Arabidopsis thaliana: one gene and its partners. The protein of the gene in region 4 interacts with the protein of the main gene of each other region in a pairwise test. Each region holds a gene or a part of one and is shown on either strand. Other genes may lie near its edges. The genes, in order: NAP5, AT3G45700, PIP1C and HHP1.

Region 1 (6,871 bases), on a different chromosome or scaffold from region 4:
CTTCTCTCCTGAAGCCTCTCCATCTCCTCTCTATCCCTCGGTCTGCAGAAGAAAAAAAGCTCGGCAATTTCACATTATCAATATGTTATTAGATCAATGTTACAATCATTTTACAGTATTCAAATTGTAAGATTTATTGTAAGATTTTCATTTCTATATTTTAAATTATTGTAAGATTATATTATATATATTTATAGCCTATTATACATATTTATTATTTCTAATTCATAATTGTAAACTAAATTATTAGTGTTAAATCTTTTTTAGAGTGTTAAGACTTTAGAGTGTTGCATTGTTGAAGGTGATTAATTGTTAAAGAATGGATGATACATGCATCGTTATATACCACGGTCTATTGCACATCGGACATGTTCTAATCTAGTTAATTAGGATTAAAAAAGTAGATACCAAACCTTTTTCAAGAATTTGTAGATGAAATTTTAAAATCTATCAAAGAATTAATTCTAAGGGATTAATTGCTAAAGAAAATTAAATGAAAGCATATTTAATCATAAATTGTCTTAATTTATTTTCATTATTTTTAGGAATAATATAAACATATATTAATCAACATTTATTATTTATAGCATAAACAAATACATGTTTATTTATTTGCTCTTTATTATTCTAATATAAATTAATAGTGTTATATATTTTTCGCCACAGTTAATGTTAAATCTAAAGTTAAAAATCCAACATTAGATCATTATTTTCTTTATATATAGAGATACACAAATCTACTCCAAGAATCATCATCGTAGGAAAAGAATGGAGAATGATAAACATAATAATCCCAAGACAATATTTATACCAGATGATATAGCTGAAGGGATCTTTCACCATCTTCCAATAAAATCACTGGCTAGATTCAAAGTCTTATCAAAAAAATGGACATCGATGATCGAATCAACCTACTTTTCCCACAAACGACTCATTCGTACAGGCTTACCAACCCCTAATATGAAATTTCTTCATATTAGTCAACACTTTACAGCGAATTTTGTTGAAGAATATTCAAACTCAATAACTTTTCTTTTGGAGACTTTTTCTAGAGATGATCAAAACAACAGAAAAACTTGTCTTTCTTCTTCTAGTTACTACACTTTTTCTGGTGATCCAGTCGACGAATCTCAAAATAAAACTATTCAAGTATTGGGGTCTTGTGATGGATTGGTCTTGCTTCGGATCCATGACGATTTCAGGTCCATTTACTTGATCAATCCGACGACTAAAGAACACATGAAACTTTCTCCCGAATTTATGCAATGGCCATTTACTCTTAGTTACTTAACCCCCGCAATGGCCAATAAACCATGGAGACAACTTTCTCAATCAGTATTGGATTATGACATATCTGGTTTGTCAACTTTCTTGTTCTATGGTTGATTATAGAGTTGAATTTTAACTTTCACATAGTAATATGTTATATACCTATTTATCAAAAAAAAATTTTTCGTCAAGGTGGATTAGTGAAGAGAATGCCGTCTCTTGCTGGATTTGGCAAAGATATTGTTAAAAAATCTTATAAGGTGGTTTTGATATATACAAGATATGAAATACATGATCATGAGTTCAAGGCCAAGGTCCTATCCCTTGATAATGGTGAGCAAAGAGACGTAGGGTTTTATGACATACATCATTGTATCTTCTGCGATGAGCAAACATCAGTCTACGCCAACGGATCCCTCTTTTGGTTGACATTAAAGAAGCTTAGTCAAACATCTTACCAGCTATTAGCTATCGATCTTCACACTGAAGAATTTCGATGGATATTATTACCAGAGTGTGACACCAAATATGCTACTAATATAGAAATGTGGAATCTGAATGAACGTTTGTGCCTATCGGATGTGCTAGAAAGTTCAAATTTGGTCGTTTGGAGTTTACACCAAGAATATCCTACCGAAAAATGGGAGAAAATATATTCTATTAAGATTGACGTTATAAGAACCAACCAATTACATGAAAAGTTTTGGATGCTTGGTCTAGCGGCTGCCTATTTTTCAAATATCAGAAATCGTCAAGATCAAGTTTCTTTTTTTAGACAAAGAACGATTTCGTATTTGCCAACAATGATTTCTCCTTCAAATTTGATGCTTTGATGTTGTTAATTATACTTTCAATTTTTAACAATATTATATGTAAGTTAAAAAGAATATTTTTAAAAAAAAGATGTTTAGATATTTATTTATTTTAAGTATATTGTAATTTCTTTATTTGACATTATGGATTATTTTTATGTTTTATTTTCTCTTGTTTTCTTTCTTTCTGTCAATATAATACATATTTGGATATAGTTATGATGAATATATACAAGTTTTTGAACAAGTTTTTGCAATTTTAAAAGACATTGGAGAACGGAAAATGCAGTGATGCATTTTATGAAACAGTTCAGTAGCAGTCTTGTAACCAGCCGTGACAAGAAGCGTGGCTCTAACAAGAATGCAGAGGGAACTTCCAAATGCCAAAGCAACATACACAACCATTAACGTAGAAAGTTTCACAGGAGCTTGCACATCCTCAGAAATAGGAGTAGCCCAAGCCATCCAGTAGTTACTTCCAATCTGTAGAAGCTGAAAGAGAATTTGCCCCAACAATATGAAAGGCACAAGAGCTCCTCCGTATGCCAGTGTGATATATTTCCAGTATACATCCAAAGCGACGCTACCTTTCGCCCTCTCTTCCTCTTGAACAAATTGTCTTTGGGGCTCCCCAGAATCTAATTTATCGTTCTTCAGATCTTGACTTTCTTGTTTCCCGTCGAAACCAATATCATCTCTCACAACACCATTTTCTTCGTCTAAAGCTGAGTTTTCAGAAACAGAACTGGCATCAGCCGACCCAACTACTGCCAGAGACTCTTGATGCGCACCTATAAGCTCCCTGAAATCTGTTCCAGAGATGAGGATATCATTATATTTTCCAGCTTGGCTGATTCTCCCATCTTTCATGACCTGAGGCATAAGAAAATCGGTTATGGATGATTTCATATTCTCAGTGCTGTAGAAAATGATAAAAGACAGTGAACTATTCACATACCAGTGTAAGATCAGCAGAAGGTAAGAACTCAACTTGATGGGTTACATATATAACCGATTTAGAACATAAAAGCCCTCGTAGAGCTTCCTGAAAAAAGTATGAGAATGAAAATAAATTTGATACATGATTGTTTACGGAAGGAGAAATCACAATCACACTAATGGCTAAGTAAGAAGATTGTACCTTAAAGAGATGTGACCCTGTGTGTGCATCGACAGCACTAAAAGGATCATCAAACAGATAGATGTCCGCATCTTGGTAGAGAGCGCGTGCAATATGTATTCTTTGCTTTTGTCCACCACTCAAATTGATGCCGCGTTCTCCAATGACGGTCTGATCACCGAATGAAAGTATCTCCAGATCTTTACTCAAAGAACATGCTTCAATCACCTTATCATATCGTTCTCTATCCATATTATATAAACAGACTTAATATCAGTCATCTGATTATTTAAACTTAAATACAAGTGTATTAGACCTTGTTCTAGGAGCAGGCTCATATCGTTATGTATAAAAGAAGATATCTGTGTGAGATTGTTTTCACTGTGCAGTCCGAAAAGTGTTGCCTCAGAGTCTCCTGGATCAGATTATCAGTAGCTGTATCGATAGAAGCAATGGCTTCATCAAGAACCGGCCATACTTTGCTTTTCTTGAGAAAGACTCGTCTTACTGTGTATCAAGGCGTCGTAGTGTGTAGTTGTCAAAAACTTGTGGATCAGCAAAACAACATAAAGAAAGATCTTTGCCAAAAACTTCTGAGTTGGTATTACAGTCATTAAGAATGCTCGAAAAAGAAATTCTCACGTCCGTATTGAAAAACCTTCTTCAAGACACTCAGTTCTAAGATCTTCCATGAGACCCTGAAACATAGATGGATCGCTCGTCACAACAGCATCCACACCTAAGTGAAGCATCCTTTTCATGGGATCAGCATCATCCACAGTCCATGCATACACCTCTTTGTTTCTCCTGTTGATCAGATCGAGCAAGGTTGTAAACACATGAGCAGGTGTGTTTTTATTTGAAAACATTGAAATCGATTGCTTACCGACGGACAACTCTAACTAATTCTTCATCGATCAAGGGATGATAAACTCCCACAACCCTAGCTCCCTTCATTCTCAGCAGGCTGTTTCTCGCCCCAGTCAAAGGATCTACCATCACAATGTATCCCACCTGCCAAAATCACTAGGAAATGAGCAAGAAACTTCTCTATCTGATCCTCACAAGACAATCCATTTCTGTTTACCATAGTATCTGGTGCTCGTCTAATTATGTCCCTAGCCAAAGTGTCGCTTTTGGCCCATACGATGCAATTATTGCACTGCGCTCTCTCAATCTAACAACAGAGGATTGGCGATTCATGTGAGCAAAGCCAGAAATACCACCATTGAAACATCAACAATTTATCCATACTCTTGTTTTTTCAAGTATCTATAGTAAGCTGTTCTAGCTTTGTGTACAAAGATACCAGGAAATAAATGATTAAGCAACGCTATTAAGGAATCAAAACATGTTTATAAATCTCGAGCACATTGTACTAAAGCTTTACAAGTACAAGAGCTAACAAAAACATAGTACTTACAATAGAAAGGATGTCTTGTGCTAACCCCTTTTCATACATTGGCGGTCCAACTTTGGCATCAAGGATCACTTTCCGGACTGAATTCGATATCAACTAGATGATTCAAGATCAAAACTAGCTTCAGCCACTTGTTACTAAGCAGAAATTACAAAGCAAAGCAATGACAAGATAGTAATTAAAAAAACAGGCATTACCGCTAAAGCCTCTTCAAGAGTAGGAATCCTACTACTTCCCAAGGTTCCTTTAACAATCTCCGAGACATCGAGTTCCTTGATCTGCAAAAAGATCATCAAAAGGTTTATGAAAAATGGATGCAAAAAAGCATATCCCAAAAGCTGGTAAAGAGAGAGAGGGAGAGATGAGACCTGTTTCATACTCAGATCTCCAACTTGAACAGAAGAGTTACGAGCAATACGCTGCAGATCCCTGACTGTGCGTGTGATCAGAAGATGAATAAGAAGAACACCGATGAGAATCCAAACACAGAAACATTAGAAGAAGATGATACAACAAGGATCAGAGTCTGTAACCTGTTGTGAAGAGCGAATAAAACACCATCGGAGGAACGAGAAACATCGACTTCAATGCAATCAACTCGAGAACGTATAGCGAAACTGTAAGCGTCCATCTACGATTGAGAAGAGTCCAAGAGATTAAGGTTTAAAAAGGTTAGTAGCAAGAGTGTGAAGAAGAAGAGATCGAGAGTGTACGTACAGTGTTTGGGAAAGCGAGGGTGGAATCGCCGCCGTGAGCACAGACAAGTGGAGGATGGTGAAGCCAATCGCACTTTTGCGCGACAATCTGACGAATTCGTCGGAGCTTGAAATGGAAGTAGAGAGGAGGGAAGATAGCTAAGAAAATCACAGCGAAGAGAATCGTTCTCTTGAAATTTCTCGAATACAATGGGCTGAAGAAACGACGGCGACGAGTTCCTCCGCCGTCGAATGGCCGTCTTCTGTGCCGCCATTCAAAAATCGCCATTAGCTGAACAAGACAAAGGTTGTTTTTGGAGCTAAAGACGACGTTTACTGCAATCTTGGAAAAAAAAGAAGTTCACCAATCACCATCAAACTATATATTTTTTTTTTTTTGTCACAACTGTTTTATTATTTATATTACAAAGCCTTTTAACAAGCCATATTTTACAAAGCCATATAACAGGCCATAAACGGACAAAAGCCCAAAGACCACCTTCTGAAGAAGAGAAAGCTAATGTGCTAATAAGTCAAAGCCCACATGGCACTAGAGACACGGTAAAGAGGACACGTGGAAACAGAAAATGATGAGTTGCAGAATGTCGCAGGTGGAGAATCATAACCACAAAAAACTTAAGTTCACCGGAATTGCTGTAAACGCCAAATCGGAAGCAGCTACAAATCCGATGAGACAATTGACAAATCTTCTGTGACAATGACTGTAAAATTTAAAACCTTCAAGAAAGAAATAGCTCACAAACTATCGACTTCGACTTCTGCCATTTAAAGGAAAAACAACATAAACCCAAACGATTCAACAAGCATCGGCAACAAGAAAGACAAACAACAGCTCTAATTTCATCAAAATCAAACAAAAGACACTAAATTAAACTTCAATCCGTAACTAAAAATTTGATCTTTTAAAATGAAAACTCAATAAGCTTGAAGAACAAATTAAGCCCCTTAAAGAAGGGAGGATCGAAAAATTACAAATTTAGATCGAAATGAAGAGAAAGAGAAATCAAAACCAATTAAAACCGAAGCAAAATAGAATCGAACAAGGTTGAAAGGCAAAAACTAAATTTGAAGAACGAAGCCGACCAACGGTGCTAAAGAAACCACCGATGTCGGAGAAAAGCTAGCCGACGTTGCTAAAGGAGCTAACGACGCCAGAAGGAAGCCAACCAACACCACTAAAAAAGCTGGCTATTGTCGGAGCCAAGTTTGAGCATCAGAAACTTCCTCTCTCTAAAAGATCTAGAGAGAGAAGAGAGAGAAAGTCCTTTTATTTTCTCAACTGCACAAAAGAGAGAAAGTCCATCAAACTATAAATTATTTTCTTTAATTTTTTTGTTATATTAAAAAAAAAACTAATAACAAAACAATTTTATTCTCATTTGTTCCACATCTCTAGAGTCACAGAGTGTACGTATCAAATAAAATTAGAAGATTAAAACACACAAAAAAAAAATGAAATAGAAAAAACCATTCACTTTCTAGTCTTATCAAGAACTTCGATGTATCTCTTTGGAACTCCATAGTGTTCCACCAT
Region 2 (8,213 bases), on a different chromosome or scaffold from region 4:
AGTAATAGCTCCAATATACAGTGCAAGGAAGAACCAGTTGAAGAATCTTCCTTGTTCTTTAGGCTTCTTATATTGGTTCGCACCCGCGGCTGCCAAGGTGAACCGCGTCCCAGCTGATCCAATGATCACTAGAGCTAAGGCTACATACAAGATCCCAAGCTGTAGTTTTGATGGCGACTGGCATAGAATTGACCCCGTTTCACACGGTCTAGGCATCAAGTAGTTCAAAGATGTGATTAAGGTCAAGAGAGAGGTTCCCTGAAAAAATGGTTTTAAAGCTGGTAAGCTTTGTATATCAGAACATAGAATAGAATTAGTGAGTGTTTAACTTACAGCCAGAGAAATGAAAGTGGAGGTGGAGATGACGGGAATGTTCCCAAAAAAGGAATCAGCTAGGATGGCTGCAACAACAGGTAACATGTTGACAACTCCATTGACAACATTTGAAATCTGAGCAGCAGCGATGTTCTTGATGTGGAATTCCTCGATCAAGAAGACGATCAAGTTCATTCCCCATCCGAAAGAAGTTATGGACATGCCTAATAATGTAACTGCACAACATAAAACCTCACCAGTATCAACATCTATATATGTTTTGGTTTCAAAAAAAAACAAAAAACAAACCTAGCATGAACGGTAAAGTGATCCAGCCACCACGCTTTTCGCTTGGATCGCTAGAGCGATGCGCTACTTCCGTGTCACCAGATTTTGAATCAGCCATGGTAGAGAACAAGATGAACCAGGAGGGCAAATGGAGTTATAATGCAAAGTTGACTTGTGTTTGTGTGTTATAATGGAGTTAGATAAAAGACTTGAAACTATATATATAAGCAAATCCATAACAATTATTATGTAGGTGCAGTGATTTGGTACTAATCTTGTTTGGTCCCAAAAAGACCTAATCAGATTCTGACAGTCCATCTACCGTTGGTGACAGTTATAGAAAACAATAAAATTATTTGACCAAATCTTCAATAGTACGTAGTATTCATAATCATCAGAAAAATATTCTAAAAAGAAACTTTGAATAATGTTAATAAAGAAATAAAAAACGCACGATCGAATATTGTGTCAAAATCGTTTGTATCAGCAGATGCATAAATATTTTTCTTATTGCCCAAAAAATGTTTTAAAAAAAATCTAAGCACCATTCTCACGTTTGAAACTCTGTTTTCGTTCCCAAAAGTCAAATCTTCTGAAGCCAAATATTCATGTCAAACAACAAATCACGAGACCATGCTACCAACGCTGTCATATATTAAGATTTTCTTCTCTCGGGTTTCACGGGCTTCATTTCATAGTACCCTATATTTGGTTCGCAAGATAAACGCCTTGCTTCCCAAGATATCTCTAATTATATTGTTTATATATTCTCAAGCCAAATCTTACATCTTTCTTATAAGACATACAAAATTCAAAGTGATTTATGGTGTTAAGTTTTCTCCAAACCATCGTTTGTATTAATTGATTTTGCTTGAATCTTTCAAGATTGTAAATGACACACTTTCTTTTTCTAGAAACAAAAAAGAGCAAAACAATTTGGACCATTTCTTGATTTGTGAGTGTGATCCTTGCAGATCTTCTTTGTATCGTTCCAATCTTATCAGATGTCCTCGACGGGACAAACCATTTGCCGTATGTTGGTGTATATATGTTGTTAGATTTTGTTCACACAACCAATGTGGAATATCTATGTTAGATGATTAAGATTAAGTACAATACTAATTATCTCTTGGCCCTTTTAGTTATGTTGATTAATGATGAAAAATACTTGGGTTCACCCCTAGGGTTAAACGAGGTTAAATGTCGGTTTGAGTTTATTTCAAAAGGTTTGGGTTTAGAAAGTACGATTAGGGTTTAGTTTTATGATTAAACGGGTTAAATATTGGTTTAGGTTTATAAACAGATTTAGATTTTACAATTAAACGAGGTTAAATGTCGGTTTAGGTTTAGAAATTACGATTAGGATTTAGTTTTTTTACGATTAGATGAGTTTAAATGGCGGTTTGGGTTTACAAAGAAGAATTAGGGTTTAGATTTTGTAATTAAACGAGATTATATATCGGTTTGGATTATAATTATAGCTTTAGTTTATTATGTAATTTAAGTAGGAATTGACATTGCATGTTTTTTTTGGTTAATATAAAGGAGGTGAAGAATCCTTAAAAAAGCTAGCTAACAGCTCATGAGCTCTAATCGGTCCATTGGAGCTAGGATACTAATAATTTGAGGTATGAGTTTGATACAAATAACATTTATTGGTAAAAGTAAACACAAACGGCAAACAGTGAGTTTGCATGTAGCACATAAGTTAGTTGCATGAAGACACAACTACAATATAGAGAAAACGAGGACAGAACACGTTAGTGTCCTAGTTTGTAACATCTTTAAGATCTTGTTCATGATCATCATTCTTGAGGTTTCTGTATTTGTAAAACCAAGAGCAGACAAGGAAGTAGCCGAAATTAGAGACTCCTATAATGACTAATACCAAGTAAACATTGTCAACCCTTCCGTGGTTTATGTCATTTGGTAACCACTTGGTGGTCCTCTGGATCACATCGATAAGAGCTGTGCTCAGATAGAAAGAGATTCCCATCACCACCGAGGTCAATGAAGTCGCTGTGTTCCTTAGAGACTCAGGGAATTCTCCATAGAATATTGCAATATTTGCTGGAAAATGAAAGGCCTCACCTATTCCATTAATCACGAGAGCAGGAACCAGCCATAGCACTGACATGAGATGGCTATTTTCAACTGTTTTCAGCCTCTTTGCTTCAACAACGGCTGATATCGCCATGCTTAAGATTGTCAAAACGTGGCCGATCCCGACTTTTTGTAGCGGTGTCAGCGGTTTGCGGATTAGCTTCTGATACATGGGATAGGTAGTCCAGTTGTTAAGTATGATAAAGACGCATCCAGAGACGAGTGCTATGACTTGCATAGACCCAGCAGAGACTTTGAAGTGTGGGCCAAGTTTACGGTCCATGACCATAGCTTGGAGGACAGTCATGCTCATTTGCACCGCTAGGGGAGCGCTGAGGAACATGACAGATGTCCAGAGAGGGACAAGTCGGAGAACGGCTTTGAAATCTTCTACTTCCTGAACAGAGCATAGCCTCCACATGTTATTATTTGAGTCTCCTTCTGTCTTCAATGCTGCACGGTTCAAGAACCTGCATAATAAAAATCCCTCTTTATTAGCTCTCTTTTTAAGTTCCATGAATCAGGAAAGCTTTTTGTTTTCACCTGAAGCTCTTGGAGGGCATTGCAACATAAGTCTTGGTCTCTTTTTCGAGCTCGCGGTGATGATAGTCTTCGTCTTTGTATGAAATCACAGCCTTTCGTTTCATTGTAGCAGCGACTAAAACGCGAACTAGACTTGTATAAGGACTTCCCAAAGGTTGGTCATGCTCGTAGAGTCTCTTCCCAGCGACGAAAATGATGAAACTGATCAAGTTAGCAGCGACGCAGAGACCGAATCCAAGCTTCCAGCTAGCATTGTCCTGTGCATATACAATTGCTGTCGTGCCAGTAATCGCTCCACCATATAGTGTGAAAAAGTACCAGTTGAAGAACCTTCCTTGTTCTTTAGGTTTCTTATATTGGTTTGCACCTGCGGATGCCAAGATGAACCGCGTCCCAGCTGTTCCAGTGATCACTAGAGCTAAGGCTGCATACAAGATCCCAAGTTGTAGTTTTGATGGTGATTGGCATAAAATTGATCCCGTTTCACACGGTCTAGGTCTCAAATAGTCCAAAGATGCAATAAGAGTCAAGAGCGATATTCCCTGAAAAATGTTTCAAAACAGGTAAGCTTTTATATCAGAAGTTGTTTAAGAAAGCATTAGGCATGCGGTGACCTAGTGTCTAGCACCTAAAACGCTTAGTCGGATAACCTTAGGCAGTTTAGCCAGTTTAGACATTTATTACATAAAACATTAGAAATATGAGCTTATACTTAAAACATTATATAAAATACATATTAGAAAAATAAAAATAGAATATCGTAAACAAAGTATAGACAAAACATTTCTTTAATGTACATCAAAACAATATATGAACGATTGTAACTATGTATATAGAGATAAAACCTACTTGAAAATTAGAAAATGCACTAAAACTAGGCGTATATACATTTTAGGCGGTCGAAACAGTTGTTTAGGCATTGTCTGAGCGCCTTAAACTAGGTCTGTGTAATTTTAGGCGGTCAAAACGGTTGCCTAGTAACTGCCGATACCGTTTTTAAAACACTCATAACACATAAAAGAATTGGTGAGTGTTAAAACTTACAGTTAGAGAAATGAAAGCGGAGGCTGAGATGACAGGAATGTTCCCAAAAAAGGAATCGGCTAGGATGGCTGCGACAACAGGCAACATGTTGACAACTCCATTGACAATATTTGAAATCTGAACAGCTGCGATGCTCTTGATGTTGAATTCCTCGATCAAGAAGACGATCAAGTTCATTACCCATCCAAAATAAGTTATCGACATGCCTAACAATGTAACTGCACCACATAAAAACTTTACAATCATCAACATCTGTTTATGTTTTGAGTTCACATAAACAAAAGAGTCAAAAACACAAACCGAGCATGAACGGTAAAGTGATCCAGCCACCATGCTTGCTAGAGCGATGCGCTTCTTTGTCACCAGAGTCTGAATTAGCCATGGCAGAGAACAAGTGGAAGCAGGAGGTACTTTGACTTGTGTTTGAGTGTTATAATGCAGTTTAGATAACAACCGTAACCTATATATATAAGCAAATCCATATCAATTATTATATGTTGGTAGTGATCTTTTTTGGTGGCAAAAATTTCATATCAGATTCTGACAGTTCATCTCCTAGTGTCGTTTGCCAATATCAGGTTGGTGAATGTAATAAACAACTAAAAAGCAATCGCCCATATCTTGCCTTATCTTCAGTAGCAGTAAACCACTCCACAAGCATAAGAAAAGTATAAATAGACAAAGATTCAAGAACTTTAAATAAATTTTATTAAAATTTAATATACTCTCGACCAATCATTGAGTCACTTTTGTATGATAAGACCTTAAAATTATTAATTATGAATCAGGAAATACAGAAATGATTTCCTTTTTCTCCAACAAAAAAAAAAACCAAACCACGTTTCTCACATTTCAAACTCTGTTAGAATTAAGCAAGATAGTGAGAGTGGTTATGTAGTTGTTGAAAGAGTTTTTGTTGTCTGATTATTGTCATAAAAAAGGGTCTTTCAAGATGATCAAAACAACAAAAACCACAAGAACAGAACACGTTGTGTCTTAGGTTGTATCGTCTTTTGGATCTTGTTCCTGATCATCATCATCATTCAGGTTTCTATATCTGTAAAACCAAGCGCAGACAAGGAAATAGTTCAAGACTCCTACAATGACTAAAAGCCAGTAAACATTGTCAACTCTTCCATGGTTAATATCATTTGGTAACCACTTGGTGGTCTTCTGGATCAGAGTGATCAGAGCTGTGCTCAGGTAGAAAGATATTCCAATCACCACTGAGGCAATGAAGTCGCGGTGCTACTCAGAGACTCGGGGAATTCTCTATAGAATAATTCAATATTCGCCGGAAATTGGAACGTTTCTCCTATTCCTACTATCACAAGGGGAGGAACCAGCCATAGCACTGACATGGAATGGCCATTAGTAACTGTTTTCAGCCTCTTTGCTTCCACAATGGCGGATATCGCCATGCTTAAAATGATGAAAACGTGGCCTATACCGACTTTTTGAAGCGGTGTCAATGGCTTATGGGCTAGCTTCTGGTACATGGGATAGACAAGGCAATTGTTCATTAAGATAACAATACATGCAGTGATGATTACTATGACTTGGAGGGACCCGGCCGGGATTTTGAAGTGAGGCCCGAGACCGCGGTCTGTGACTAGAGCTTGTAATATAATCAAGCTTGTTTGCGTCACCATGGGAGTACTAACGAAGATGATGGCTAGTAACAGAGGGAGAACTCGGAAAACGGCTTTAAAATCTTCTACTTCTTGAACAGAACATAGCCTCCAGTTGTTATTAACTGAGTCATCTTCGGTTTTCAATGCTGCACGGTTAAAGAACCTGCACATGTAAAAGCTCTTTTAAGTTCTGTTTTAAGTTTGATGAATGAAGCAAGTTTTTTTTGTTTTTTCACCTAAAGCTCTTGGAGGGCATTGCAGAAGATGTCTTGCCTTCTCTTCCAAGCCCATGGTGATAGTCTTCTTCTCTAGATGAAATCACAGCTTTCCTTTTTCTTGTAGCAGCGACTACAACGCGGATCAGATTTGTGAAGGGACTTCCCATTGGTTTGTCATGCTTGTAGTATCTCTTGCCAGAGACGAAAACTATGAAACTGATCAAATTAGCGACGGCGCAAAGACCGAACCCAAGTTTCCAGCTAGCATTTTCCTGTGTATATACAATTGCTGTTGCACCAGTAATAGCTCCAGTGTAGAGTGTGAGGAAGTACCAGTTGAAAAAGCTTCCTTGTTCTTTAGGTTTCTCATATTGGTTTGCACCCGCGGATGCTAAGGTAAACCGCGTACCAGCTGATCCAATGATCACTAGAGCTAAGGCTATATACAAGATCCCGAGCTGGAGTTTTGATGGCGATTCGCATAGAATTGACCCTGTTTCACACGGTGGAGGTCTCAAGTGGTCCAAAGATGTAATCATGGTCAATAGAATGATGCCCTGGAAACGTTTAACAACTAGTAAGCTTTGTGAGTCACACAAGACAATAGAATATTTAAGTCTCAGACTTACAAGCAAAGAAATGAAGGCAGAGACGGAGATGACGGGAATGTTTCCGAAAAAAGAATCAGCTAGAATGGCTGCAACAACAGGCAACATGCTCACACATCCATTAACAATATTAGAATTCTGCGTAGCAGCGATGCTCTTGATGTTGAATTCTTTAATTAGGAAGACGACCAAGTTCATCACCCATCCGAATGAAGCTATGGAAAGTCCTAACAATGTAGCTGCACCATATAGAGCCTTACAATAATCACTATCAGTTGTCTATGTTGTGTGCTCAAAAACATAAACCAAAACAGTCATAAAATACACTAACCGATCATGAATGGAAACGTTTTCCAGCCACCGCGCTTGCTGCTTGGATCGCGAGTGGTCATTGCTTCTGTGTCGACTGAACGAGCCATGACAGAGAACAGATGAAGCAGAGGAACACTAAATATAAGCAAGTACGGAATAATTATGTTGTGCAATGATTTGTTAATGATCTTGTTTGGTAAACTTGTTATTAAGATTTACACTAAATGTTGTTATAATTATATGTTTAAAAGTTTAGTTTTTCTCTTACCTTTTTGAACTACTTGGCACTCTCATTTATTAAACAAGGATCTCTCTTAATTACACAATTAAAGTTCCATAACTGAGAAATCTGTCCAAATCTGCCCATTATATAAAAGATGAAGGGAGTTCTTTAAGGATTTGACATCTTATTATGTGAGAGCAAATAAAAGATTAACTTATTAACATGTGTCCAACTATTTAATGTGTATAAAATTCATTTAAATTGAATTTAATTATGTTAAAAATCATTTAAGGATAAGCATAAAATAATAATTAAAACTCAAATTTAATTTAGAAACAACACATTAATAGTGTTTAGATCATTAACATAATTTAGAAACGACACACTAATAAAACTAAAATCATCTAGCAGATATAAAGATCCAACGATTCGAAATCGTTCATTAGGGGTGTAACATAAGCGACCACGCTAGCATGCAGTTACCTCATAGATAGATACTCATTCTTTGCATTATTTTCTAAATATATATGTATTTTTTTTTTTATAAACCCTACAGTTAGTCTCGATAGAAAGTAGAAACGCATCAAAGTGCTTCAGAAATGACTTCTTCCCAGAGGACTACTATACTAAGATTTCATGTAGTAAATATTAAATTGCATGTAAATTGGTCAATATTTATAACACTTATGTTTAGAAATTTGACTATTACAAATTGACTAAGAAATTATATCAGATATTTGACTGAGATTTAGCTCATAATTGAAAATTTAAGCTACTTATTATATTGGTATGGTAATAAAGGTATAAGAGTCAAACTTTTATCCTAAATATATATAAAGATCGAAATTACTAGCTTTCACAAAAACATATTTCAACATTAAGAATAAATAAATTTCTTTCCTGAAAAATGATCTATGTATTCATT
Region 3 (7,343 bases), on a different chromosome or scaffold from region 4:
GTTCTCCACGAAAACAATCTGCCCCCCCAAAAAAACACGAAATTAACAATCAAATTTTCCAACACAGTCTTAAAACATACTAATAAAGTGATTGTGAAGCAGAGCAAATCAATGTACCTTTTTCTTGGTGTTGGCGTCGATAAAAGGATAAATGACCTTCCATGCGGTCATGAAAATGTAGGGGGCATGAACTATATAGAGTTTCCCTAATCTCTCTGGGTAACAATCCTGTAAAACAAGGTTTTCTTAATGTGGGGGTTACTCACTGTCAGGACTCACGACCATGAACAATATTACTAACGCAATATTTTGCTAAAAATAGGATTACAATCATGAAAGTTCCTTTTCAAAAAAAATCCATAAACAAAGAGAAACAAAAAAAAAGAAGCCAAGTGTGGCCAAAAGGACCAAAATAACAAAAAGACCTTTAACCTGATCACCTACTCCAAAATAACAAAAACACCTTTTAAAACATAGTAAATAGTACTGACGAACAAAAGGTTTCTTAGTTGGAAGTCAAACTGAATTCTCTATATTTGGAGTTAAGTGGATTATTAGCAATATTTTCCTTTATTAGTGATAATTGCTAAAAACCTAAATGTTTGTTTCAAAAGATATGATAGGCGAATTAAAGGAAGTAACCTGCAAAGTGGAAAGAGCAGCAAGGTAGCCACGGATGTCACAATTAGAATATCCCCAGCCTTGCAGATCTCCAATTGCTACGAATTTCTCTTGACCTCTCGGCATTCTAACATGACAACATTCAAACAAACAAAAAAAGAGCATTAGCATAAATGGTTTCTTATATACCCACACTAACTTAATGTATGTAGTAATATTATTATTATTCACCTAGCACAAATCTTCTCGAGCGTGTAGACAACAAAACGCTTGAACTCGTCAGGGTTGCCTTTGGAAGGGTTATGTCTGTTCCCAATGGCAACAGCGATAGGTCGACCCATCTTGTCATGACCTTGCATACACATCTTGTTATGCGATAGATCATTTGCAATCTCTGCTTCTGGTATGTGCCCCTTTGGGAGCATGCTTCTCTTCCAAGTCAGGTAATTTAGAAACATCGTTGAAGCCTTTTCAATGTCCAGGTCACGCGCTCTCAGAAACCTCCTTATCATCAGATCATCCACCTCCTGCAAATCCAAATCATTAGGGCTTTTATCAAATCAATACTTTTCTGGTTGAATTCTTTTTTTACTTAAAGAAATCGATAGGGACCTTAGTTTCAGGATCTTGTCGGTCGCAGAGAGCTCTCATGATCCCGACTTTGCTCCTCTCGATCTCATCTTCGATCAACGGAACGGTCTTTTGCTCAGCTGCTGCTGCTGGTTCTTGCTTGGTCTCTTTGTTTTCCATTACGTTTCTCCTGTGAGCGACGACCAGATCTTGAAATTGGTAGAGAGAAGAAAGAAGTAGGATCGATCATAAATGAAGACAGCTGCTGAGAGAAAGATTTTAAGTGTCATTCAATGCAAAGTTGGGCTGCTTTCCCCTTCAATGGCGACGCTCACCAACTACTCTCTTCCTTACAAAAATTCTACTCATTTATTGACTAATCCCAGGTCCCCGACTCTACAGGAAGAAGACGATTATATCGTATTGGGCCTTATTAGAGCCTATTGGGCTCGAGTTGATTTGTCGTAAAGACTTGGTCTGTGGTTTAATCAATCTCTCATGCCTCAAAGTGTTGACTGATTCAGAGGCCGTTTTAGTGTTTTGAGCCCACGTCAGAAGCTTGTCTGTCGTCTGTGTGTATAAAACAAAATTCAATTCACGATTTTTTAAAATATTGATCGTATCTTTTTCCACATGTATGTAAGCAATGAAGGATCTGCTTCGTTGCAAAATATTAGTTTTTCTTTTGATAGGCATGTACCAACTAAGTACCAGCTACGTACACAGACAAAGTCAGTAACAATTAAAATTCATCAACCTAGTCATTGCTTGTTCATCAATCAACCTAATCATTTGTTTGCTTGTTAAATAACAATGCCAACGTTATTATTTCTATTTCTATACTATCATACATTCATACGGTCCACGCCTCTAACAAAAAAAGATATTGATAAAATTTAAAAGATAGATAATTCGATGAAATGAATTATAATGAAATGTGATTTGTACAACTGAGAAAGGATGTCATATACGGACTTTGGTCGGGACCGCCCCAGTAAACACCACCAACACATATTTGCCTCTTCAACCACGTGTCGTGATTCTGTTGGTTGGGCAGCTAGACGACTGTGATGTGTGTGTGTGGGTTGCGTTTCGAAAAATGGCAAACCCCACCACTAGTTCAATAAAAGGTGTTTCTTAATCATATAGTTTAGCTTCGGATTATTTGTTTCCCTTTTCAGTTTTTTAAAAATCGATATCTACAATAGAGTTAATCTGTTTATAAATTCAATTATTGTTCGGGTAAGACAACATCAACAAAACTAATAGGGTTTGAATCCTAAACACTAAACTCCATTTAACTAGTAAAGTATGGCTCATATAGCGTTAAAAATATGTGAATTGATAACAACAACAGAGTTTTGAATTTTATTTTTGTTAGGTTTGAATAGATTGATAGAAAAAGGAAAGTGGGAATAGGGAAACGAACATGTGATCACAGAAAAGCAAAATCCATTTCTGAGCTGGAAACCCCCGCAAAATTGAACCTTATCTCCAATTTTCATTTTCTTTTTTTCTAAAATATATATCGTTTAATTGAAAAACCTCAAATTCACAATCATTGTGATTATTTTGTCACTAGTAGTACACATAGTAATTTAATTAAACATTTTAAAAATACTCTAGGCCCGGCACAATGTTCGAGACTATGTTACTTTACATAAAGCAATCGCTTTCCACACACTTCTTTTCCTTTTCTTCTCCAACGGTCGGAAGTAAATTATTAATTCGTCGACTAGTCAAAAAGTTAGTCCTTTGTGAGTTTTCTGGCACTGTAATATTTTTTTTTACATTTCTAACTGCTGACTGAGTAGTACTCCTGTAGCAAGGCATTTGAGAATAAATTAGGTCAAACATGCTATCTTTATAAGGAGTTTCAGAATATAATACTAATAGTTAGCCAACGCAACAGAATTAGTATAAGCGTGGGTTGTGTTACATGATTAAACATCATCAAGTAGTAGGCTATTACAATTATTAACGTAAATAAATATGCTTTTACGAAGATCATCGTTATCCATGATTCCCTGTATTTCTCATTATTTAAATATATCATAATAGTTTCGAGACGTTAGTTTTTTTTGCTTTTTCTATTCTCTCTCTCTCTCGCCTCTATAAAACCATTCTTTCTCTATCTCAGCCACTCTCATTACCCATTGTAGAAAAGAAGAAAAAAAGCAAAGAACACTTGAACGTTTTCTAGATAGAGATGGAAGGGAAAGAAGAGGATGTTCGAGTGGGAGCTAACAAGTTCCCGGAGAGGCAACCGATAGGTACATCGGCTCAGACGGACAAAGACTACAAGGAGCCACCACCAGCTCCATTTTTCGAGCCAGGCGAGCTGAGTTCGTGGTCCTTCTACAGAGCCGGAATCGCCGAGTTCATAGCCACCTTCCTGTTTCTATACATAACAGTATTGACAGTGATGGGAGTGAAGAGAGCACCAAACATGTGTGCCTCTGTTGGAATCCAAGGCATTGCTTGGGCTTTCGGTGGCATGATCTTTGCCCTTGTCTACTGTACTGCTGGAATCTCTGGTAACCCCATTTTTTTTATCTTCTTAATACAAGTAGAATTGGTCTTTTGTTGCATGCTTCAAACCCTTGTAGCTCTGCTTTTAGTTTTCGATTTTTCTCAAAGAGATCTTAATTTAGAGTTGATTCTGATGAGTGTGTGTGTGTGTGTGTTTCACAGGTGGGCACATAAACCCAGCGGTGACATTTGGTCTGTTCTTGGCTCGTAAGCTGTCATTGACGAGAGCTGTCTTTTACATCGTGATGCAATGTCTCGGAGCCATCTGCGGCGCCGGAGTTGTCAAAGGCTTCCAGCCAAATCCTTACCAAACTCTCGGCGGAGGAGCCAACACAGTCGCTCACGGCTACACTAAGGGCTCTGGTTTGGGTGCTGAGATAATCGGAACCTTCGTCCTTGTCTACACGGTCTTCTCCGCCACTGACGCCAAGAGAAGCGCTCGTGACTCCCACGTTCCGGTATAATTTTGTTTTGATTCCTCTTAATTTATTGTTTTGGGTGTTTAGAAAAAGATTCATAATTTAGGGTTATTTTTTTTGCAGATTTTGGCACCACTCCCAATCGGATTCGCTGTGTTCTTGGTTCACTTGGCGACGATTCCAATCACCGGAACAGGAATTAACCCAGCTAGGAGTCTTGGAGCTGCAATCATCTACAACAAGGACCACGCTTGGGACGACCACGTGAGTACCCCATTACATCATTTGGTTGATTTGTCTTTCTATATGTCTTTGTCACTTTGGTTTGATTGTGGTTTGATTGTGGTTTGCAGTGGATATTCTGGGTCGGACCATTCATTGGAGCAGCTCTTGCGGCTCTTTACCACCAACTTGTCATCAGAGCCATTCCATTCAAGTCCAGATCCTGATTTGATTTCTTTCTTTATAAAACTTCATTGTTGCATCTTGGTTTGTAATTGAGCTTGAAAATATTTGAGAGATCTGGATCATGTGTTTATTTTAATTAATGGACTTGTCTTTTTCTTATTTGCTGTGGATGATCTGGTTTTATCGTTAAATGGAGTTTGATATTATGATTGATTTGGTACGATTTTAATTTTGCTTTTGTCGTTAGACTCGAGAAATTTTCAAGAGGAATTTGTTAATTTGATTTTCTTCTGGTTTGGTTCGGTACAAATTGAGTAAGATCCATATTGTTTCGGCTTGGTTTCTCGGGTCATCGACTCAACTAGTTTACGTGGTATTTAGCCCATATTTACATTGGGCCTCTTGCGCACTCTTTATGGGCCACGTTAACCAAGTGGGTATTAAGCCCATTTACATTGGGCCTTTTTCGCACTCTTTATGGATACAACTAGTATCCCATAATATGTCCATCAACGGCATCACTCCACCTTAATTTGTTGCGATAGATAGCCAACCAAGTTGAGATAAAACATTCTTACTTATTCTACAATAACCTCGTCAAAGTGGATTACCTACCCACTGCTTCACACCTTTTTTTTTTTTTAGTTTTTACTTTTCAGTTTCATATCTTCAAAGTGAATGTTTATGATAAGTTTGTTATCTTCTTGGAAATAAATTCTATTTCATAATTTTCATTGTACATAATTGCATGCATATTTTGGTAATTTATCTCAAACACACATATATGTATACACGCATAAGTCACTTTTCTTTGTAAGCTAAGGTTCACGTGATGCAGTTTCAATTTCCATAGCGTGTAAGTAGTTATTATACTCATACTAGGGGAATACTGTTACACTCATATCCGTAAGTATGAATGCATATGGCTCAATGGCTCTCCAACTCCCAACTATTTTACCGTTTTATTAATATACCATTGACATTTGAGTGACCATCCATGATACGCGGACAAAGAAAAAGAAAACCGTCTTAATCCCTTAATTATTATAAATTAAGGAGTTAATTATTTAAACCTAGTATAAAGTCAATTAACTCAATTAGCATTATAACTCTGTCGACGGCTCCTTGATACGTAAATATTGCAATCAAAATTAAATGCTACCAATATATAAAAGTCATTTTCATATAATTAACTTGGTCAGGCGGCCGTCGACTTTAATGTTTCACGTATAGTTGGATACTATATAGTATATACACACAATGCCAACCCACATATTATAAATTTATAATAACTCACCCAATTAATTATACAGCCTTCCATTTAGGTGAACTACTAAACTACTTTCTTTCATGTCAATCAACAAAAAGAAAGTAACTGAACCGCGTGTGACCAAAATTATATTTATGTATACACCAAATTCCATCATCTAATAAATACCCTAATCAAATAATCACTCATATTAACTTAAATATATTAGAAAAAAATAAGTGTCAATTGAAACCTTTGTTACGAATCATGTGATGTGAACATTTAATTTCTCATGGAGATAAAGAAATAAGAAGGGTTAATTTTGTAAAGATTGAAAGTTTAAGGATAATTTCGTAAATAGTTAATATTAATTGGACTGAAAAGTTATTTAGTCAGTTGAGCGATAAACAACCACTGGAAGGCGCATTTAAAACCCCAAGGACCTTCCCTCTCTTTCTTTCCAAATCTCTCTTTATCTCTCTTTCTCTGTTTACTAAATCGCCAGTATTCGCCGCAAGAAAGATGTCTCCGGCGAAGAAGAGCCGAAGTTTTCCTCCGATAAGCGAGTGTAAAAGCAGAGAGTATGATTCGATCGCTGCGGATCTCGACGGGACTCTGCTTCTGTCAAGAAGCTCTTTCCCTTACTTCATGCTGGTGGCCATTGAAGCAGGTAGTCTCTTCCGTGGATTGATCCTTCTTCTTTCTCTTCCCATCGTCATCATCGCTTATCTCTTCGTCTCCGAATCTCTCGGAATCCAAATCCTTATCTTCATCTCCTTCGCCGGTATCAAGATCAAGAACATCGAACTCGTCTCTCGCGCCGTTCTTACACGGTAACCACAATCACCGGATCTTTATTCTTTTCGATTTTGGAACCCTTTCGATTTTTAATCTTCGTTTTCAAATGTTAGGTTTTACGCGGCGGATGTGAGGAAAGATAGTTTTGAGGTGTTTGATAAATGTAAGAAGAGGAAAGTAGTGGTGACTGCGAATCCGATAGTGATGGTTGAGCCATTCGTCAAAGACTATTTGGGAGGAGATAAAGTTTTGGGAACAGAGATTGAAGTTAACCCCAAAACGATGAAAGCTACTGGTTTTGTGAAAAAGCCTGGTGTTCTTGTTGGTGATCTCAAGAGATTAGCCATCTTGAAAGAGTTCGGCGATGACTCACCGGATCTTGGCCTCGGTGACCGCACCTCCGATCACGATTTCATGTCCATTTGCAAGGTTTCTCTATCTCTCTCCTCTCTCGTTTCATTTTGCATATCCAGTTTACGTTGCTTAAACCTGATTTAGGTGGTAATTAATTAAAGAACTAACTACTTAAATGCGGTGTGGAGAGGATTCACATGATCTATGGGATACACATGATTTCATAAAAATCTAGAATAATGTTTTAGGATGATAAAATCCATAGTTTCAAAACACATACACGTATAAGTGAATTTAAGTAGAGGAAAGTAATCACTGAGAGTGACAAAAAGTAGATAACAGAATAGAATAATAGTTTTCATAAATGCTTCCAACCTATCACCAACTACCAT
Region 4 (7,932 bases):
CCGGAAATACCTAACTCTTCATATGGTTGTCTCTTTGACACCTACCGGATTTTACTTCATTTATGCAAAGTATTGTAATAATAAAAAGAAAAAGAGGATATTCCCGGTATTTTAATTAACAGAACAACATTCATATAAATAAAACCATTCCTTTTGATTTTAATTAGGCCTAGGCGACAAAATATATAATTAAGGCTAAATAGATTGCAAACACATGGCAGTTATATCCAAAAGTAAAGATTACAAAAGATGTCGAGAAGATAAAGTCATTTTCTTCTTCAACCATATTTAACAAAATCTTAAGTTATGAATTAGTAATAAACTATTTTCCCAAGAAACTTAAACACACGTATATGGAGTTTGCGTATATGATTGCGATTCCTTGGGGGTGTTTCAGGAGTGACCTCTTTGGTTAATGTTTTCCCAAAAAGCCTAAGCCAACCCAAATCTTGAAAGACCAGAAAGCTACAACTATGGCCATTTTATCAGCTTTAATTTTAGATAACAAAACTGAATTTTGTAAGAGAAAAAATAAAGGTATGGCTATGGGACGCCGAGATGTTAATTACTATCTACATAATAACAACATATTTTTTTTTTTGAATTTAGTGTTAAATTATATTCAAAGAAAAATAAACTGTTTATATACAGAAATGCAAACTTTTCTTAAAAATAGATCAAAAGTATATCTTATTTATCTTTGATTTTGTTCTTGCCTAAAAGTAAACCACACTTGGATTCCTCTTGCGTACTTCTCTTCACATCTTACCCTCAACGTGCTTAATCCATTCCTTATGTTTTTGTCTATCAGCCTGATTATCTTCTTCGTCCTCGATGGCGTCTGTCCATATCTCCTCTCATTTCTTTCTCTCCATATAGAATGTATCGTGTTTTGAAACACATACCGAAGTACAAACCTTGTAGTGGCGTCAAGATCTTTACTCACTAACTCCTTCATAATAACAGCATAATAACATGTATTACATGAATGCATGTCACAAACGTTTATAATTCCCTTTTTTTTTGCCAACAAAACGTTTATAATTCCTTGTATGAAGATATTTTCGTCTAATTTTTAACATCCTTTTTTAGTTGATTTCCAAATAAATTATAAATTTGTTCTAAAGTTTAGTCATCTGCCTAATTAATTAACTTGAAGTTCTATATTGCTAGAGGCATTTAAAGGTCAAGTCCTTTTCAAGTGGTAACTCATTGAAAATGACACTAATGTTTTTTGCAACATTTCACAAGAAAAAAATAGAAATTTTCATGATTTTGGCTTTTGTGGTCTACTCTTTTAAAAAAAGGAATCCTTGAAATGTTTGCATGCTTGTTTTTAGTATCATTATTTTTGTTGTCATCCACTTGATGGAAAGAGCTTTGACACTTCTTTACCACAATCACTTCATAACTCATAACTACATTAAATTCTGTTGTTATCCTAACTTCTTCTGTTAAAAAAATTACTTAGAATTACACATAAGAACTCAAAAATGCAAATTTTCTAAAATTACTCGTCTATTTCAAGTAAAGTAAACCCCTCACCAATCTTAATTTCACACAGAATTTAATGTTGATTGAAGCATAGTAAAAGTCTAAATGAGTCCTTATTTTTTATTTTTACATCAAGAGTACTATTTTGTTTGCATCACATATCTTATATCTTTCTTATAAATACAAACGATCCGGTGGGTACAAGGCATCAATCATGTAAAAGAGGTACAAGCCGGTAGTGAATTTTGAGTCGGTCGGTCTTAAAATCGCCTAAATTTACTCTTCTCGTATTCAAAAGATTTTCCATATCTCAAAAAGTAGTGTAAAACTGAATCACTTTTCTTGTTAAAAAAAAATACAATAAAAACAAACGTAAGAGAAAGGGAAATGAAATAATAATAATCAAAAAAGAAGAATTTATTGATAACCTAACTAACAACTAAAAGATGAAAACACGACACCAACTTCTACCTGCATACTAAAGTTTCGTCTTTAAATGTTGCAGCTGTCTCCTTACATTTCACATCTTCCTTGTTTCTTCTCTCTCTCTCTCTCCCCTCAAACTTAAATTCACATTTTAATACTTGTTACTTCAACTATAATAATAATAATAATCTTTCTTCATTATATATTTTCCTCTCCTCTCAGATCTTCTCTCTCACCATCTTCTCTTGAGATCAAGATTGAGTATTCTTGTCTCAAGAATCGATACTCGAGAGCTCTTATGGACCAAAATGGTCATAACGACGAAGCAGAAACAGTTTCATGCGGCAACGGCAACTGCAAAAGCAAGATCGTGCCTGGAGATGATCACGGTGGAGATGAGAGTAGTGGTACCAAGAGAAGGAAGAAGAGAAAAACGCAACAAAAGACAATGAAACGACGTGAATTAATGTCGTATTGTGAGCTACCGGAGTACATGAAAGACAACGAATACATATTGAATTATTACAGAGCTGATTGGTCCATTAGAGATGCTTTCTTCAGCGTATTTAGTTTCCACAATGAGTCCCTCAATGTTTGGACGTAAGTACACCAAATTTTACTTCTAGTTTCAATTATTTTTTCTTCGATTTTTTTTTCTAATAGTTTTTTTTTTTTGGACAGACATTTGATTGGTTTTATCTTCTTTGTGGCACTAACCGTCGCCAATATTATTCATCACGACGGATTCTTCCCCGTGGTAAGTGTCCTTTAATCAACACGTTTATTTTTGTTTTTGTTTAATAATCGCAAGTTTAGCCCGAATTTCAATTTATTCCCTCGAGATCCACATGCAACCACTATATTAACTTCAAATTAGTCAAGTGAATGTGTCAAGTAATTAGATATATACCTAATTGGTTTTGATTAACTTATCTTAATTTTCTAATGAATTGTTCGTTGCTATACCTGGATTTTGTTATGATGATTTTGAATAAGATATCAAAGATATATAGACATGAATCGAAATGATGAATAAAATCTTTGACAATATTACATTGACTATAATTTGTTTTCTGTAGTATATTCTAAACAACTCAATAAAATGTAATTCTTTTAAGGATTATATATCAGCTCAAATCTATTATTTAATCACATATCTAAACAACTGAAGAAAATGTATTTCTTAACTAGATTAGAAATCAACTCAAATATGTTATTTGATCATATATCTAGTATATGTTTTTTTAGTATCTCAAACTAGTCAATAAAAATGTAAAGCTAATGGTGGTATCAATGTTGATGATTGTAGGATGCAAAGAGTCCAGGGAATGTAACAAGATGGCCCTTCTTCGTTTTCTTAGGAGGCTCAATGTTCTGCCTACTCGCAAGCAGCATTTGTCACCTCTTCTGTTGCCACTCAAAAGAGCTTAATGTCTTCCTTCTCCGAATAGACTATGCCGGTATCACCGCCATGATCATCACTTCCTTCTTCCCACCAATCTTCTACATCTTCCAGTGCACTCCTCGGTGGTACTTCATCTACCTCGCAGGCATCACATCCATGGGAATCTTCACAATCATCACACTTTTCACCCCATCACTTTCCGCTCCCAAGTACCGAGCTTTCCGCGCTTTGCTCTTTGCCTCCATGGGGCTGTTTGGGATTGTCCCAGCTGCCCACGCGCTAGTGGTCAATTGGGGAAACCCGCAAAGGAACGTGACGCTCGTGTACGAGTTGCTTATGGCAGTGTTCTATCTTGTTGGAACAGGATTCTACGTAGGGAGAGTGCCAGAAAGGCTTAAACCGGGATGGTTTGATCGTGTGGGACATAGTCATCAGATCTTCCATGTGTTCGTTTTGTTGGGTGCTTTGTCTCACTATGCAGCTGCTCTCTTGTTCTTGGACTGGCGTGACCACGTTGGTTGTTAAACCATATATTTGTAATTCTTTTAAATATAATATTATTAATTTGTTGTATCGTGGTGAACAAAATTGTAATAACCCATTTGTTTTAAATTGAATTGTAATTCAACTTGTGTTAATTGTTATGTTTGTTGAATATGCATGATTTTCAGAAGTCTTTTTCTCTATGAGAAGTTAATGGTAAATCAAATATTTGCCACTGAATAGTTTCGTTTTTGAATATGATGACTTCAATTGTTTGTTTGCTTTATATCATGAAAGCAAACAGAATTGAAAAGACATAAAAAAAAATTGATGTAAACACAAAAGCAAAAATTGACGGTTGAAACAACCAATGATTTGTTTTATAAAAAAAAAAAAAAACCAATGATGCAAAGGATGGACTTCATGCATGGTTGATGGTTCTTTCATCTATCTACATGCGCACTTAGCTTAGTGTCAGGATTCCCTAACCACAAGAGAATTAATATGTATATATGCACCATCAAATGTTCATCAAAGTCTCCGCTTCCTTTTTCATTCTTCATAGCCGAGTCCTCTTATTATTGCTTCAAAGTTTTTTTGTTCTTTTTGATTTGATATAAATATATGTGTTACTAGGTTATACAGGTGTTAATTAGATGCAAGACAAGGATTGATCAGACATAAACATAATTAAAGACCAAGCTTCACTCTGTAACTAGACTCTTGATCGATAATGCGTGAACGGACCCAAACTCTTTTCGAATTTCGGAAGCCAAATGTCTTGGTCTTGCCGTGAGACTTGGTGTATATTTTCATATATCTTTTTTTTTTTTTCCTTTTGATGTATGAAACTTTTTTTATGTGTGGTTAATGAGTAAAACAAAGAATCGAACACCATCACCATTAGTTTAAGGTTGATGTGTGAAACATAGCGTACGTGAAACAGTTCTTCTAATTAACCCAATTTGATGTTATTGTTAAATTATCTTCAAGAGTGACAAATATACGACCAAACATGTCAGCTAAAGCTTTATAATGCCGGTTATGCTTAACCACCCCAAATTTGATTTGCCTGCCTCAGACCGGTTATAGCAGTACGGGAAGAACCGGTTTGATAATGGGTATAAAAGTTTTTCGTTTTTCTTCTTGCAACCAAACCCAAAATTGACCCTAAAATTAAGCATGCCATGATAGCTAGCTAGTAACGATCGACGGTGCCAAACCCCGAACGATATGAAGATTTACTTCTGATTCGGTAAACATTTTTATAAAGCAATAAATACAAAATTAATGTTATTTGCTTCTCAATTACTCTATTAGTCTTCCGTTTCCTTCCCTAATAGGATTTATTTTGGTCCATTTCTGCTTTAATTTTTTACCTTTCTAGTGATTTTATTTGGTAGACTTTTAGCTGGTTTGGATTCTCTACTATAATAGACTCTTATATTCCTCTACTACATAAGTATATACCCTAAATGTGTCACTGCCCAAGAAACTAGAGAAAAAAAATATGGAACAATCAAATTTTGTTAATATGAAACTCTCTCTAGTTCCAACTCTTCTTCTTCTTCTTGTTCTTCTCGTCTTTTATCAACATCACTCTTCTCCAAACCTAAACTCGAACGCTCTCTCTTCTTTCGTCGACGCTACGTCCCTCGCCCCATCTCCTTCACCGTCCCTGTCTATGGAGTTTAGTGTCGCCTCATCAAACCTTTCAACAATTTCGAGTCCTCCTGAAAATGTATGTTTTTATTAATTTACGTGATTTTGTTCATTTATGCTATAGATTTGTTTTGACTTTTGAATATATATAATTTGTTGTAATAAGAAAGGAAATAAGAGGAACATAATTGAGGAAGGTTTAGCAAAATCAAGATCCGCCATACGTGAAGCCGTGAGGTTGAAGAAGTTTGTATCGGACAAAGAAGAAACCTTTGTTCCTCGAGGAGCCGTTTACAGAAACGCTTTTGCATTTCATCAGTAAGTTTCTGTTTCCTTTTTTTCTTCGTTTCTCCTTTTTTTTTTGTCTTTCAAATTTTCATTTAAAGTTACTTTCCATACTAGGAAATAAATGTAATACTAAGATTTTATTGGGGGAAAAAAACTAGTCAATATGAAAATTATTAAGTATACAACTACATTTTATGCTAATGATATGACAATTTTCATTTAAGTTACCCATAATTTTCTCCCCAGATCATTTGGATTTCAAAGAAGAGAAATTCAAAATTTACCTCAAAAGTGTAACCGACATTCGACAATGATTTTTAAGCAAAATACATTTATTGTTTACATGAATAAATTATTTTCGAAATCCTTTTTATTCCCTTCATTTGGAGTATGTATAAATTCGGTTTTCTTGAATTATTTACTCGTTTGCTATGGGAAACGAAGCGATTGAGTATAATTCTAATCCTTCCTCGTTCCTTAGTTCTCTGCGTCTCGTTAAACTCAAGATTGAACTATTTAAGTATTCATTTTCACTTTGTTATATGGTTTATATTATAACTATTTAAGTGTCCATGCTCTTATACTTGTTTTTACTTCAATACATTGTATTGCTTATATTACACACAACCAAGCGTGTGTATAGTAAATACCAAAATAAATCTTTCTCCCAAATCTTAAAGCAAATTGTACCTCTCTTAAAGAATTGCGTAAACTTTATAATATTCAGAAAAGTATGTAAATTTTTTATATAGTCAACGTGTCTTAATTAAGGGACTATACTATATATGCACAATGGTATGCGGGTAGAGAAACGTAGCGCCTACTTAAAGCCCTGCTTTGGTAATTGTAGTCACAGCTCTATGTTATCTTCACATTACAACCTTAGTTTAGTTATTAGAGTAAAAAAAAAAAAAAAAATGTTTAGTTGTATTGTACTACTTTTTATTGACTTCAAAATCATCATTTCTTTGCTTGTTGCAAAATTGAATTGCTGCTCCCAGTTATTTTATTAAAAGAGAATTAAATTACTCTAAATACATAGTAAGAAATTACCTAACCGTATTCAAAAACTGTCTTGTGAGTTGTGATTAGTCTATCACAAATTCGTAGACAAACTTTAAATAAACAAAAATTGTAGCTAGGAACAAATGTACTTCACTGTGTTTATGAATTATGATCGAGTAGTAACAACACTTTTTCTTATGAAATTGAGCAGAAGCCATATAGAGATGGAGAAGAAATTCAAAGTGTGGGTGTACAGAGAAGGAGAGACACCGTTAGTTCACATGGGTCCAATGAACAACATATACAGCATTGAAGGCCAATTCATGGACGAGATCGAGACAGGGATGAGCCCGTTCGCGGCTAACAACCCCGAAGAGGCTCATGCCTTTCTCCTCCCTGTCAGCGTCGCCAACATCGTTCATTACCTATACCGGCCGCTCGTGACCTACTCGAGGGAACAACTTCACAAAGTTTTTCTTGACTACGTCGATGTTGTGGCTCACAAGTATCCTTATTGGAACAGAAGCCTTGGAGCCGACCATTTCTACGTTTCTTGCCATGATTGGGTTTGTTTTCTTTCTGGAACCAGACTTATTTTTGTGATGTTGCTACTGAAATGTAACATTTTTAAAGACTCTTGCAGGCACCAGACGTCTCAGGATCGAACCCGGAGCTGATGAAAAACCTGATAAGAGTTCTCTGCAACGCCAACACATCAGAAGGTTTCATGCCCCAACGAGACGTCTCAATCCCGGAGATCAACATCCCCGGAGGCCACCTGGGACCACCTCGGTTATCGCGCTCTTCGGGCCATGACCGACCCATCCTTGCTTTCTTCGCAGGGGGTTCACACGGTTATATCCGCAGAATTCTATTGCAGCATTGGAAAGACAAAGATGAGGAGGTCCAAGTCCACGAGTACTTAGCCAAAAACAAAGACTACTTCAAGCTCATGGCTACGGCAAGGTTCTGTCTCTGTCCTAGTGGCTACGAAGTGGCTAGCCCTCGAGTCGTTGCAGCCATTAACTTAGGTTGCGTCCCTGTCATCATCTCTGATCACTACGCCTTGCCTTTCTCAGACGTTCTTGATTGGACTAAGTTCACCATTCATGTTCCTTCTAAGAAGATCCCTGAGATCAAAACCATACTAAAGAGCATATCCTGGAGAC

Evidence for each region.
Region 1: the proteins of HHP1 (region 4) and NAP5 interact in a protein complementation assay, tested with the Arabidopsis thaliana proteins (one large-scale study listed by BioGRID).
Region 2: the proteins of HHP1 (region 4) and AT3G45700 interact in a protein complementation assay, tested with the Arabidopsis thaliana proteins (one large-scale study listed by BioGRID).
Region 3: the proteins of HHP1 (region 4) and PIP1C interact in a protein complementation assay, tested with the Arabidopsis thaliana proteins (one large-scale study listed by BioGRID).

Annotation. Positions count from the first base shown.
Region 1 is NC_003070.9:26,881,717-26,888,587, forward strand, and holds NAP5 (non-intrinsic ABC protein 5), read right to left. Parts: upstream 3,454-6,871; coding exon 3,223-3,453; intron 3,127-3,222; coding exon 3,040-3,126; intron 2,955-3,039; coding exon 2,298-2,954; downstream 1-2,297. Other genes in the region: AT1G71320 (F-box family protein), read left to right, coding at 769-1,078, 1,121-1,357, 1,471-2,102; GDPD4 (PLC-like phosphodiesterases superfamily protein), read right to left, coding at 3,840-4,008, 4,088-4,215, 4,289-4,378, 4,625-4,717, 4,819-4,899, 4,990-5,050, 5,155-5,252, 5,339-5,605; AT1G71350 (eukaryotic translation initiation factor SUI1 family protein), read right to left, coding at 6,809-6,871.
Region 2 is NC_003074.8:16,775,227-16,783,439, reverse strand, and holds AT3G45700 (Major facilitator superfamily protein), read right to left. Parts: upstream 4,728-8,213; 5' UTR 4,676-4,727; coding exon 4,594-4,675; intron 4,512-4,593; coding exon 4,294-4,511; intron 3,792-4,293; coding exon 3,250-3,791; intron 3,177-3,249; coding exon 2,372-3,176; 3' UTR 2,172-2,371; downstream 1-2,171. Other genes in the region: AT3G45710 (Major facilitator superfamily protein), read right to left, coding at 1-258, 334-551, 625-721; AT3G45690 (Major facilitator superfamily protein), read right to left, coding at 5,290-5,541, 5,637-6,090, 6,164-6,702, 6,775-6,992, 7,085-7,172. UniProt on the Arabidopsis thaliana protein: Transporter involved in a passive nitrate efflux.
Region 3 is NC_003070.9:223,234-230,576, reverse strand, and holds PIP1C (plasma membrane intrinsic protein 1C), read left to right. Parts: upstream 1-3,033; 5' UTR 3,034-3,400; coding exon 3,401-3,728; intron 3,729-3,885; coding exon 3,886-4,181; intron 4,182-4,265; coding exon 4,266-4,406; intron 4,407-4,495; coding exon 4,496-4,591; 3' UTR 4,592-4,912; downstream 4,913-7,343. Other genes in the region: AT1G01630 (Sec14p-like phosphatidylinositol transfer family protein), read right to left, coding at 1-18, 118-228, 643-748, 853-1,148, 1,234-1,371; GPAT4 (glycerol-3-phosphate acyltransferase 4), read left to right, coding at 6,322-6,632, 6,711-7,026. UniProt on the Arabidopsis thaliana protein: Water channel required to facilitate the transport of water across cell membrane. Its function is impaired by Hg(2+).
Region 4 is NC_003076.8:6,836,943-6,844,874, reverse strand, and holds HHP1 (heptahelical transmembrane protein1), read left to right. Parts: upstream 1-1,928; 5' UTR 1,929-2,218; coding exon 2,219-2,520; intron 2,521-2,601; coding exon 2,602-2,677; intron 2,678-3,229; coding exon 3,230-3,850; 3' UTR 3,851-4,042; downstream 4,043-7,932. Other genes in the region: AT5G20260 (Exostosin family protein), read left to right, coding at 5,319-5,549, 5,637-5,788, 6,975-7,329, 7,407-7,932. UniProt on the Arabidopsis thaliana protein: May act as a negative regulator of abscisic acid (ABA)-mediated osmotic stress signaling and function in cross-talk between cold and osmotic signaling.